2 linked regions of the Neodiprion lecontei genome follow. The protein of the gene in region 2 purifies or fractionates together with the protein of the main gene of each other region. This does not show direct contact. Links are inferred from orthologs where the notes say so. Each region holds a gene or a part of one and is shown on either strand. Other genes may lie near its edges.

Region 1 (6,028 bases), on a different chromosome or scaffold from region 2:
AGAAGAAACTGTTCGATTAATGCGTAACAGAAATATTTTTTTATATATCGTGTGTTGAAAGAAGGTACAAGGAAGGAAGTGTTTTTATCACCACGCCATGTTGAACATCTTATCACTATAGTCAGACTTTAGAAAATATTCAAAATGTATTTAAGCATGCACAACGTTTCATATTTCAATTCAAATAGTTAACTTTAAATATAACGAACCTGTCATATTATAGCTTAAAAATACAATAAATTAATTTCTATGCATGAGACTGCAAACCATTAGTGCGCAGTAGTTTCACTTTATTCCATTTCTGAACCATACTCCAGCTGAAAAAGGGTGCTGCATGCCAGATTAAAGTATATAAATAAAATAATTGACCATTAACACTCGCATCTCGTTTTCAGTATCTCTGAAACTTAGGGACTCACTTACATGTTTACTTTATGAAACACAATAATAAATTCATTTTTATACTAAAAATACCGTAATCAATACGAAAAATATCAGTATCAAAAGGAAGCACCTCTCTAACATACTTAAATTTTTAAGCACTCAGCACCCTTTCAGAAAAAAATAGTTCTTACATTGCTCTCAATTACCTAGTATAATTGCTTGGGGAAAAAAAAAAGAAAAACTTTTGTTTTCAACTTATTTTCATCTAGTAAATAATAAGCCAGGTACTCGTAGGACCTGCACATTAAATCATCGATCTTTACAAATACCTTTTTAGTGTTACAGACAAAAGTAACTATTCAATCGTCCCAGTCATCACCACTGGTCTCACTCGTTGAATCGTCACTGTCGCTATCACTGTGTATTACACGCGATCTTTCTGCTAGGGCCCTAGTTAAAGCTCCAGCTAAACTATTCTGTATGATTGGAGACGGGGCAGATTTTGGTTGATTTGCAACCGACTTCAACTCGACTCCCTGGCGTATCTGACTCAACAGATTACCTCTAGTATCGTCAGCCAAATTTGGCTTGGGCTCGACTTTGTCCACCTTCTGCAATATAAAAGTAAATCGAGTCACGAAAGTATATGGATATGAAAACATTTTAAATGAAATTTCGAAATTGAATTCATTTAAACACGGATTATCCCAATTGCAGCTATGCTGAAAATTAATGAAAATTATAAATAAATCAAAAGTTTGCTCAGATACATCTTATGTGCATTAAATATTTTCGGATTTACGAAATAAAAATTGATCACATAACGTATATCATCAGATTTAAAAAACAAATTTGAAACGGTCATCGTACCTTGAGCGTTGTACCACTTCTGATTGCATCGAGCAAAGCATTTCTGGTATCAGGTAATCCACCATTGTTATTAGTGGCATTACTGTTTATTGTCTCATTATCCATCTCTGTTAATTGTGGTATCGGAGGTGCAGGAGGAGGAGGTATGTTTGTGGACATTGGAGGTGGAGGTGGTGGTGGAGGACATGGTGGTGATGTCACAGAAGATGCAACAGGGCGAGCCGGCAAAGGCCGATGAGCAGGAGGGGCATTAGGTGGTGGAGGTGGTGCAGCAGTTCTTGAAGGTGGCAAAGGCGGAGCACTACGTGGCTGATTCTGAAATGATCATAATAAATTAAAGCATGACTGATGTACTTAAAAGATAACTCGGATATTAGTATAGTTTTTCCTAACATTATGGCAACGCACACTACTTATTGGAGGTCCGGGACTAACTGGAACAGTTCGAGCGGGAACAGGAGGTGGAGGTCCTAATCCTGTCGGTGCTGGCGGCGGTGGTGGTTGATTGCCTTGTATACTCGAAGGTGGTATTATAGCTGCTTTAACAGCATTTATGCCCCCATGGCATTCGATGAAGTCATAGATGAACTCTCGCGTCTTTCGATCTCTCAGCTGATCATCCGAAACACCTGCTGTGTCGAAAAACTGCTTTAATTGCGGATCTACGGATTCCAATTCTAAACCTTTACTGTTCACATTCCAACCCATGTGTGCCACATGTCTGTAACAGGTAATATTACACAATTAATATATTTCTCGAGAGAAAATTTGTATTACGCAAATTTCTTTATAGTGTCAAGGTTGAGAGCGCAATACTCTCAATAAATTAAAATCATACCGAAAGTTTGAGGGGGAACCTATGTCCGCCTTTGTCAATCTTCTCTTTGGATCCTTGTCCTGTTTATGGTTCTTAGCTTTGTACATCGAACTACTGGACACGCTTCTATTGACAGTAGCGGATGATGAAGAGCCATTTGATATGTCTGTTGAACTTCCAGTGCTGAAACCTACAGCTGAGGTATTGCTGTGGCTCTTTTTTGGCAACGTCAGCGAATGATGAGAATCGGCATTAATTCGTGACTTTCTTTCTTGTCTTCTTTGCCTCTTAGCATTAAGCTTTTCAAGAATTATCGACCTTTGATGTGAGGAAAGGAAATTATTATCAAACCATCGACAATAATGAACGATTGTAACATATATAAAATTAGACTGTATGTTACTTCATAGCAAAACATGTTGTGCCATAATCTTGACTTCTTATTGCGGTTTTAGAGAAAAAGCGATTAATACCTCAATATGATTGCATCTGTTTCGCTGGCAAAATTAAAAGCAGTCATAGAATCTTCACCCTCGAATGTGTGAAAATGGGACATGGGAGCTTTGTAATCCATTGAATTATAGACTTCATGTTCCCACAGCATTGCGTTTCTTCGCAGACAATACAGCCTAAAAAAGTAACTGCGTCTTGGATTATCTTTAATGAGTGTTATTACACCAGTATCTCTTTTTATCCAATCCCTATGTGATGGAGACTCAGTTACGTATAGTTGTATCACACCAGCTGCAAGGCACTGAAATAGCAAAACATACTGTTAGCTACACAATTGTCTCACATGTTGTGACAAAAATACAACAAATGAGTCATAAGCAAAACAACATGACCAAATATTAGTTTGAATAAAAATATTAACCATTTGTTTCGAACAATTAAAAGCGTGCTTGCCTCGTCTCAACTAAAATTAGATGCAATTACTGACCGCTGATGTGAAATGTGAAGATATGGAATTTACAATTATGTTATAATTATGATCTAATTGTATAGTATATCGCTTAAATATGAAAAAAAACTTATGAAGGTTCCCAATGGCCTATATGTTGAAATAAGTGTGTTATATGAAAAATGTTACAAAATACTCTGTTATCAAATGAAATATGATAATGCTTTATAATCTTAAGCCAGAAATTGATAACATTCCTGTCATAGCAGTATATGTTTGAAATATTGTGATAAGCAGACAGAACTTCTTGCAAAATCACAGATTATGTGTAACATAATGATCAGCCATTGATCATATGACTTCAAGCATTTTAAATATACCCAACATATGCGGTAATTATAATGACAATCCAATAAATGGCAACTAAAATTTAGAATAACTAAAACATAAAATCGAAAGTCTAACTAACAGATGTTAGTTTACATCTAAATTCTATATGCACCATTTACTGCTTCAAAAATAATAAATTTGTAATGTCAACAAGGTGGAGTCTGCGAATAATCATACAACATAGAATGTTGTCATAGATCAGAGAATACAGTATATTCAATAAGTAATAGTGTTTTGAAAAATTTTCACGTATTCGACAGGAACTTCTAAATTAGGCAATCTTTGGTTCTAAACACGTAGGTAGACAACGATTGCCTGTAGCTTTAAATATAGGTCAGTATCAGTTAGCAATGAAAGGATATTGACAAAGGTAGTGATGACAAATTTGACAAGTTCACACCTGACATCGGTTCCCAATAAGCTTGAAGACTTCCTGGTTTTCTTCCTTCGAGAGAAGGATGGATCCTCTGTGCTCGTTCAAGCGTCCAGATTTCATTTTCGACAAAAAATATTATACACGTTTAGGTTATGGACGTAGCGATATCCACGGCTCCAGAAGTTCCATTCGATTCCCAGACGGCCCAGGGCACTGGCACGTAAATCACCGTAGAATTGATTGCGGATTTTGCATTTTTGCCCGCTTACAACCGCCTATCCGTGAGTAAGCCTTCACCGTATACCGAAAGCAACACCACCCACGAAGGTATCTCAACAGGAAGCGAGAGTGACGCTTGATGACATTTTCTTGCATCCGGTTCGATGAGCATTGTCTTTTTTTCCTTTCGTAGATACATAACCTATTTTTAATACACAAGATTTAAGTACACACGAACGAACGGGTGGATAAAGAGTAGTCATCCACTTATACGCGACTCTAGTGAGTCATTAACCACGATCACAGCTAATTCGCAATGAATTCTAACAGGGGTCAAAATCATGCCTGTCAGTTGAACGTATGTACAAAGTGAGACTGCACTGCCCGTCACTGTCTACGTATAACCACATCAACACTTTGATATTACATTGTTGACACTTATCCGCAATCAGAAAGTATTCAAGACATTTCTAGCAAGTGTGCAGAAATTTATTATTGAATAACTGTTGCGCAAACCACGTAATTCGCTGAAGTATACGCAGAGGATTCTGCTAGCAAATGTCAATTTCGCGGATCATTACTGCCGTAGTAGACCTGTAAAACTCCCATCCTTCCGAGGCGTGTCTCTAACTGATAGGCAGCAGGTAAACAATTTTAGCCCAACTGGGTCATCCTTACAAGCTACGTTTTCTTCCTATGAATCGGTTTTATCTCCTCGTTTGACACGCGCGCTAAATCAACCCATGAATTCGATATTCGACGTTATTCGATGGTGCAGTTTGCATGATCTGTGATCGTAGAAGATCAACTGCTTATTGTATTTCGATGAAGAGAAATGAAAAAGACAACTTCGTACGCACAGGCGCTACCATCGCAGTAGTTACGTATAATTGCAAATGAGACAGTAGCGTATTCATAGGACAAGATAATAATAGGAATAGGAATCGAGATGATTCCTTTGTTTATCTAACGGTCGATAACTATGCTCTTCAATCTTCAATGAAAGGTACTACACGTCAAACATTCATTGAAGAACAGCACTATCGTTCAGCTTCAGTAAAAAATTGAGATGACGTCATTATTGGTATTGTAGTGCCGGTAAAGAAGGAACTCAGGAAAAATTTACGCGTGCGCGAATTCAACAAAGACGGACAATCCTTGATCAAGTTAGTCAATGTTTGAGCGTACGTCAAACGGACGAATATGGCGAATGTGCCTGTATGCCCGTTTACGTGGGGTGTAGCTAGTAAATCGTAAAATGAATGACCAGTGTCATTTATCTTGCTTGGATATACCGTATTAGAATAATGTCACCTTAACCGTATCATGTTTAGGTGGTACAATATTCCGCGAATAACTAAACTAACGTTAATTTGACAAGATGGAGGATCCACAGCTGACCGAAGAGGAACACGATCTTTACGGAGAGACTTTCAACTGTTTTCGCAAAGACCCTGACATTGATGAGGTCCCAATCGCCAAAGTCACTCAACTTGTACGCACCACTCACATACCGCGCCGAATTGCCAAAAAGGTATAAAATTTAGCATACCATTTAAACATCACGTTCCTAGTTCTAAACCATTACTGTGTACCACTATCAATTCTCAATAATTCGAACTAATGTTATTCCACTCAATGAATCGTGATTAGGATGTTTCTTTTTTAATTCTTTCCCAGCTCAATCGGAGCAAGTGTTTATATGCGATCACATATCATCCAAGGGGGCGTGTACCTTTCACTGCTGTTTAACATGTAATTCAACAAAACGGAGCACACAGTTGATCTCGCAATGTTTCTGATTAAACTTTATACTTCAATTCTGTGCTACTTTCGTAGGGGTAATCGCATTCGCTATAGTCTGAATTTATTTTAAGAACTGTTGCATATAAATTTATTTCTGTCACTCATCTGAAAAACTTTACTAGGAATTGTGACACTGTGCTAGAATGTTTGGAATTGCCAAATACTGTTCACATAATTGAGTTTTGAAATATCCGAAATATAATTTTCAAACACAAAGTTGTGTTAGAATTAGATTAGAAAATAAATATTTAGGAATGCTCTTCAG
Region 2 (4,788 bases):
CACAATTTGGATTTGAATGAAAACTTTTTACCTCACAATGTGAAGAGAAAAACGATCAATGGCATAGTATTGGAACGTTGATCATTTAGTAAACAGAATTTGTACAACAGGGTGTGTTGATGTGATGAAATAGTATGCAAATATAGATATAAAGTTGGAACATTTACAGCGTAATGTATGCTTCGGTATATAATATATTGACGAATGTATTTTTATACGTAGTCGGACCGAATGGGGATGCTACCCATTCATAAATTAGGAACCAAGTATATATGAAAGAAGGAACGTAAACCGGAAATTACAACAGAAACAGGCAGATCGATGATTGGGTAATTATTAATAACTATACTACAATGGTAACTGAAACTCACCTCAGAATAGGACTTTTCGATTGCAGATTTCTTAATCGTGAAATTTCTGTACAATTAAATATTAATTGAATATTTTAATTATAATGAAGATGTACAAATTGATAAAGCTATATATCGTTACAGTAATATAATATGATGTATACAAGAACGAAACAAAAATTTGCGGCAGTAATTTCAAAACGCAAGATATTCCATCCGTTATATATAATATTATTTTGTACAAAATATGAAATTCGTTCAAATTTATACAACATGATATATAATTATTTTTCTTACACTATACATATGTATATTCAGTATAATGATACATGCGCTTTGAAAATATAGACAGATTCTTGCGTGAATCTAAATATATCAAATAAAATTTTTTTTTTTTATTTGTCAGAAGCGTTTTCTCACTTTTATGACTGATGGCACGGCTTTCGGTACTCAATTCTAATCGATCAGAAATCAATTCTGATGAAACCTTGAGGATATTATACTTTATACTTATCATGCTATTGCATTACCTTGATAAGTTTCAAATCAAGCAACGCTTCAGATAGTATCAAATGTGATTGATAGGGTAATATAACAACGTTTAATATACGTATTTAGTTTATTTATAGCCATCAGCCATAACACGTGAATATTGAGCGGCAAAAAAACAAACGAAAAAAAAACTACGCTAAAATGCCGTAACAATGATCTCCTAAAATTTCTGCGAGCGAACAAAAAAAAAAAAAAAACACATATGACGCAGCGTTATATCTAATTGTAATCAAGCTCACCGTATATCCTCCAACAAATCGCATTCATGTTGATTTTTTGCCTGCAGTTTCGCTGCCTGTTCGGTATGCAAGTTTTTCAAAAACTTTGCATAATTTCCCTGTACGAAAAATATTCATACGTTTCTTTAAAACAGTAATTACCTGCATTCGGTTATAATTGGTATGGGATTGGAATGCGCGTCAATCACGACGTACTTTGCCCTTTTCGCTTTTCATAATTATACCGTACGAACCGCATTACGAGAGTATACCCACAGAGAATCTTGCCTATATCCTAGTTTCTCAACGAATATCGATCATAGATATAAGGCATATGCGGATTATTTTAAACGACGACGATGTGAAGTTACGATGATGGTGAAGTGGGACAATCACTGATTGTACACGGTAAGAGAAACGTGCCAAATACTTCTTTCCTTATCGCGACGATGTTCCGCAGATAGTCGTTTGCTAAATTTTCAGTTTTTCAATTCCTTCAATTCATACTTACGGGCTTACGCTTACATAACGATAACATGAAACAGTTACAATTTATACATACACACATATATATATACACACATATTTATACTCTTCCGAATTCACAGCGCACGCCTCACGTAATCAATGATATTATATGATTTCAAAATATATATGACTCCATTTTTTTTCCAAGATAATTCAATATTCGGCACTAAAATAGCGTATTACTGAAAATAAGATTCGCTGATTTGCACTCTGATATAGAATTATTTGAAAACTGCAGCAGTACGGTGTGCGGAAAATAATTATTTAGGTATTTAGAAAAAAGAATTGAGTAACATCGGCGTGACATATACCTATGCATAAATACCGAAGCGCAGATTGTATATATGTAGGTTTATATATTCACATAATGTACATAATCGCATTAAATTTTCCTTAGACTCTTCACCTTGAGAAAAAGCTCTGACGTGAATTAAGGAAGTGGGTAATGCAGAGGTTTTTTTTTTTTTACTAGCTCCAGGACTGCTCGTCTTACTTGTATAATTATGGACGAAGGATGAGATTAAAGTCCACCAATCTAACGAAGGATTTCGGTCATACCTGCGATTTATAAATCTCATTCGAAATGTATAAACGGCCATTTTTTCATTCAAGAATGAAGCATCACTGCATCAAACGTGCACTAGGTCATCATTTGTAGGTAGATATTTACCACATATCCACTATGTACAGCCAAGGCCGATCATGTATTTTGAAGATAATTGTGCATGCGATCCATATCAAACCTACATCACGAACGATGACGGATGTATTCACGAGTGAAGATCGTTTTGCGATAGTTGCGATAATTTGAATTTGAATAACGATTCGGTTTAATCTTCGATTCATTGCAAAGTCCCTTGCATATTATTCTAGACGAAAATTCGAGAGTTTGAACGATTATTACATTGATAACGAAACAACCCAGAAAATGAAAGGTGCGAAAGTAAAATATAGTATTCGTGTAAAATTTTGCGGAGGTAAAAGACCCGGGCATTGATTTTCCCGGTTAGTGTGTCGGTGGTATCAATTTTATATTTGGTACCCAGAATCAATAAGGCAGGTCGGAAACCCCCGCGTGTATATTGTATTCGATTATACGGTTGATATGTAAAAGTAAACAGTAAACTTGACCGCGATTCGCAGGGCGAGGGGGATGAAATGTTTAATTAATAAATCCAGTCTTCGCCGTAAATTTGTGGGTAGGTACACGCCTTTCGGGTATCGTTCGCCTTTTAATCGGCGATAATGCACTTACTTTTCTTGGGGGCGGCTGCATGCTGAACACACTTGGCTGCTGCAGCCTCGCCACTAAGTACTGTAATTTTTTGGAAATGCCTTCACTGGTTACCAACCCGTATACTACTGCTCTCTTGCCCTCGTCTCAACCTATTTATTGATCGAACCGACGCTTGCGCCCGGAGGTGTGTTTTCGTCGGTCCACGATATACGCGCGAGACCATCAAACCCGCCTACTCTTCTTCTCCACTTTGCTCTCTATCACGAGATACCTTCTCTATTTTCTTCTCTCCTCTTTCTAATTTCGCTTGGACTTCGAATAACTGAATGAATAAATGCGAAAATAAATTTAAAGCGGATTGAAAAAAAGAAATAATCATCATCAACAGCGGGTGATAATTTCAACCCTCCGCAATTGATAATGGGACAAAGAGGGAAAACACGCGTGAAAAATTTGAGATTTTGTTTTTTTCACTTCAATAATTATGTAACGTGTTCGTGTATAATATGGATAATATGTAACACTCGTTTTAAGGTGACGCTACATTTTTCTACAGTTCGATTAGAGGAGATGAATAAGGATACTAGCGCGCTTGTACGCATGATTAGACTGTTCCGTTTGCTAACGCTCATTTGTGCGTAAATTATCATCTATTATAATTTATAATGTATCAAAGGATCAATCGCTAACTGATCCCAAGGCCGATCTATTTTTGTTCAAAGAACCCCTACGTCTATTGGTACCTCGATTTTCAGATCCAGTGATTTTTCACCTACACTTTAACATCACGGGAAACGTAAGCGTTCGTAAAATTTTTTAAAGTTTAAACAATTGTGGCTAATCTCTATCGTCCCTCGATTTTTACTCGCACATTCGATTATTACTATAAATAACGCTAGGGTGAGAATTGAGGTGTGAATGATAGAGCGGGTCAGTATGTTGTTTGAAAATTTTATTAAATATATTTCAAAGTGTATAAACAGGTATAGATAATGTGTCAGATTTGTTCTTACTGGTATAATTATATCATTTAAGAGGTTTCGTCGGGTAATAATTGGTTGAGATCCGAGTCCGCTGGTAATCCAACGGCTCCTTCAGCGTCAGTATCAATGCCCATGGGATTAGCTGCTAATGGTTGAGGTATAGGATCCATGCCGATTGCCGTTATGGGATTTTCTCCAGCATCCAGTACAGGATCTGCTGTAGCCTCGGCAAGATTTGTTACAGACTTAGATTTCAGGCATTGAAAATCGACGTGACGGCTCTTGGCTTCTTCTTTCTCCCATGACATGTGAATAAAAGGACGTTGGACGTAATTATATATAACTTCCGCACGGCCGTCCGCTCTCTTCTTCACCTTCTCCTTGTACGTTGGGTATCCCTCGATCCCCAAGCGTATTTTTTTCAGTCCTCGTTCTTTCATCACTTGTTTGGCCACATCTCGATTTTCAATGTATTTAAAAAATCGGTACATGGCCGTGCTGTTCACCGCTACGAAAAAACAACGATTCGGTTCATTACAAAGTAAGGCATTTCGGGATTTCGTTATCGCGTCTGTGAGAAACAAATTCGGGAAGTGAAAGATGTGAATCGCGAATTGTGCATATTTTATATCAAATCATTTATTACTCTGTGAGTATTCCTCGCCCATTTGGGGTGGATATTCTTCATCCCAGTCTACGACGTCATCTTCGAGTAAAACTACGACGTGGCATTCTCTGTCTCCTCGTTGCGCACTGTTAACCATTAGTGGTAATATCAAGTCTTCGAGAAAAACTTCAAACTGGCAGCGAGCTCCTTCATTAGACAATTCGTGAAGCAGTCCCCCTGTAACACATTTCAATTCATATTTGGATGCAGGTAAAAAATTTTTTTCTCCAAGCTTTATAGAATTTAGATGTTG

Evidence for each region.
Region 1: the proteins of protein nervous wreck (region 2) and neural Wiskott-Aldrich syndrome protein purify together in Drosophila melanogaster (affinity purification with western blotting, with the first as the bait; 3 studies listed by BioGRID). This does not show direct contact. The link is inferred for Neodiprion lecontei from reciprocal best matches to the Drosophila melanogaster genes nwk and WASp.

The regions. Positions count from the first base shown.
Region 1 is NC_060260.1:27,945,464-27,951,491, reverse strand, and holds neural Wiskott-Aldrich syndrome protein, read right to left. Parts: upstream 4,005-6,028; 5' UTR 3,859-4,004; coding exon 3,763-3,858; intron 2,826-3,762; coding exon 2,545-2,825; intron 2,390-2,544; coding exon 2,093-2,389; intron 1,976-2,092; coding exon 1,663-1,975; intron 1,570-1,662; coding exon 1,255-1,569; intron 996-1,254; coding exon 744-995; 3' UTR 515-743; downstream 1-514. Other genes in the region: ralBP1-associated Eps domain-containing protein 2, read left to right, coding at 5,339-5,491.
Region 2 is NC_060261.1:5,813,532-5,818,319, forward strand, and holds the start of protein nervous wreck, read right to left. Parts: upstream 3,034-4,788; 5' UTR 2,925-3,033; coding exon 2,904-2,924; intron 1,240-2,903; coding exon 1,142-1,239; intron 418-1,141; coding exon 372-417; intron 1-371. Other genes in the region: BTB/POZ domain-containing protein 10, read right to left, coding at 3,916-4,376, 4,515-4,712. UniProt on the Drosophila melanogaster protein: Adapter protein that provides a link between vesicular membrane traffic and the actin assembly machinery. Acts together with Cdc42 to stimulate actin nucleation mediated by WASp and the ARP2/3 complex.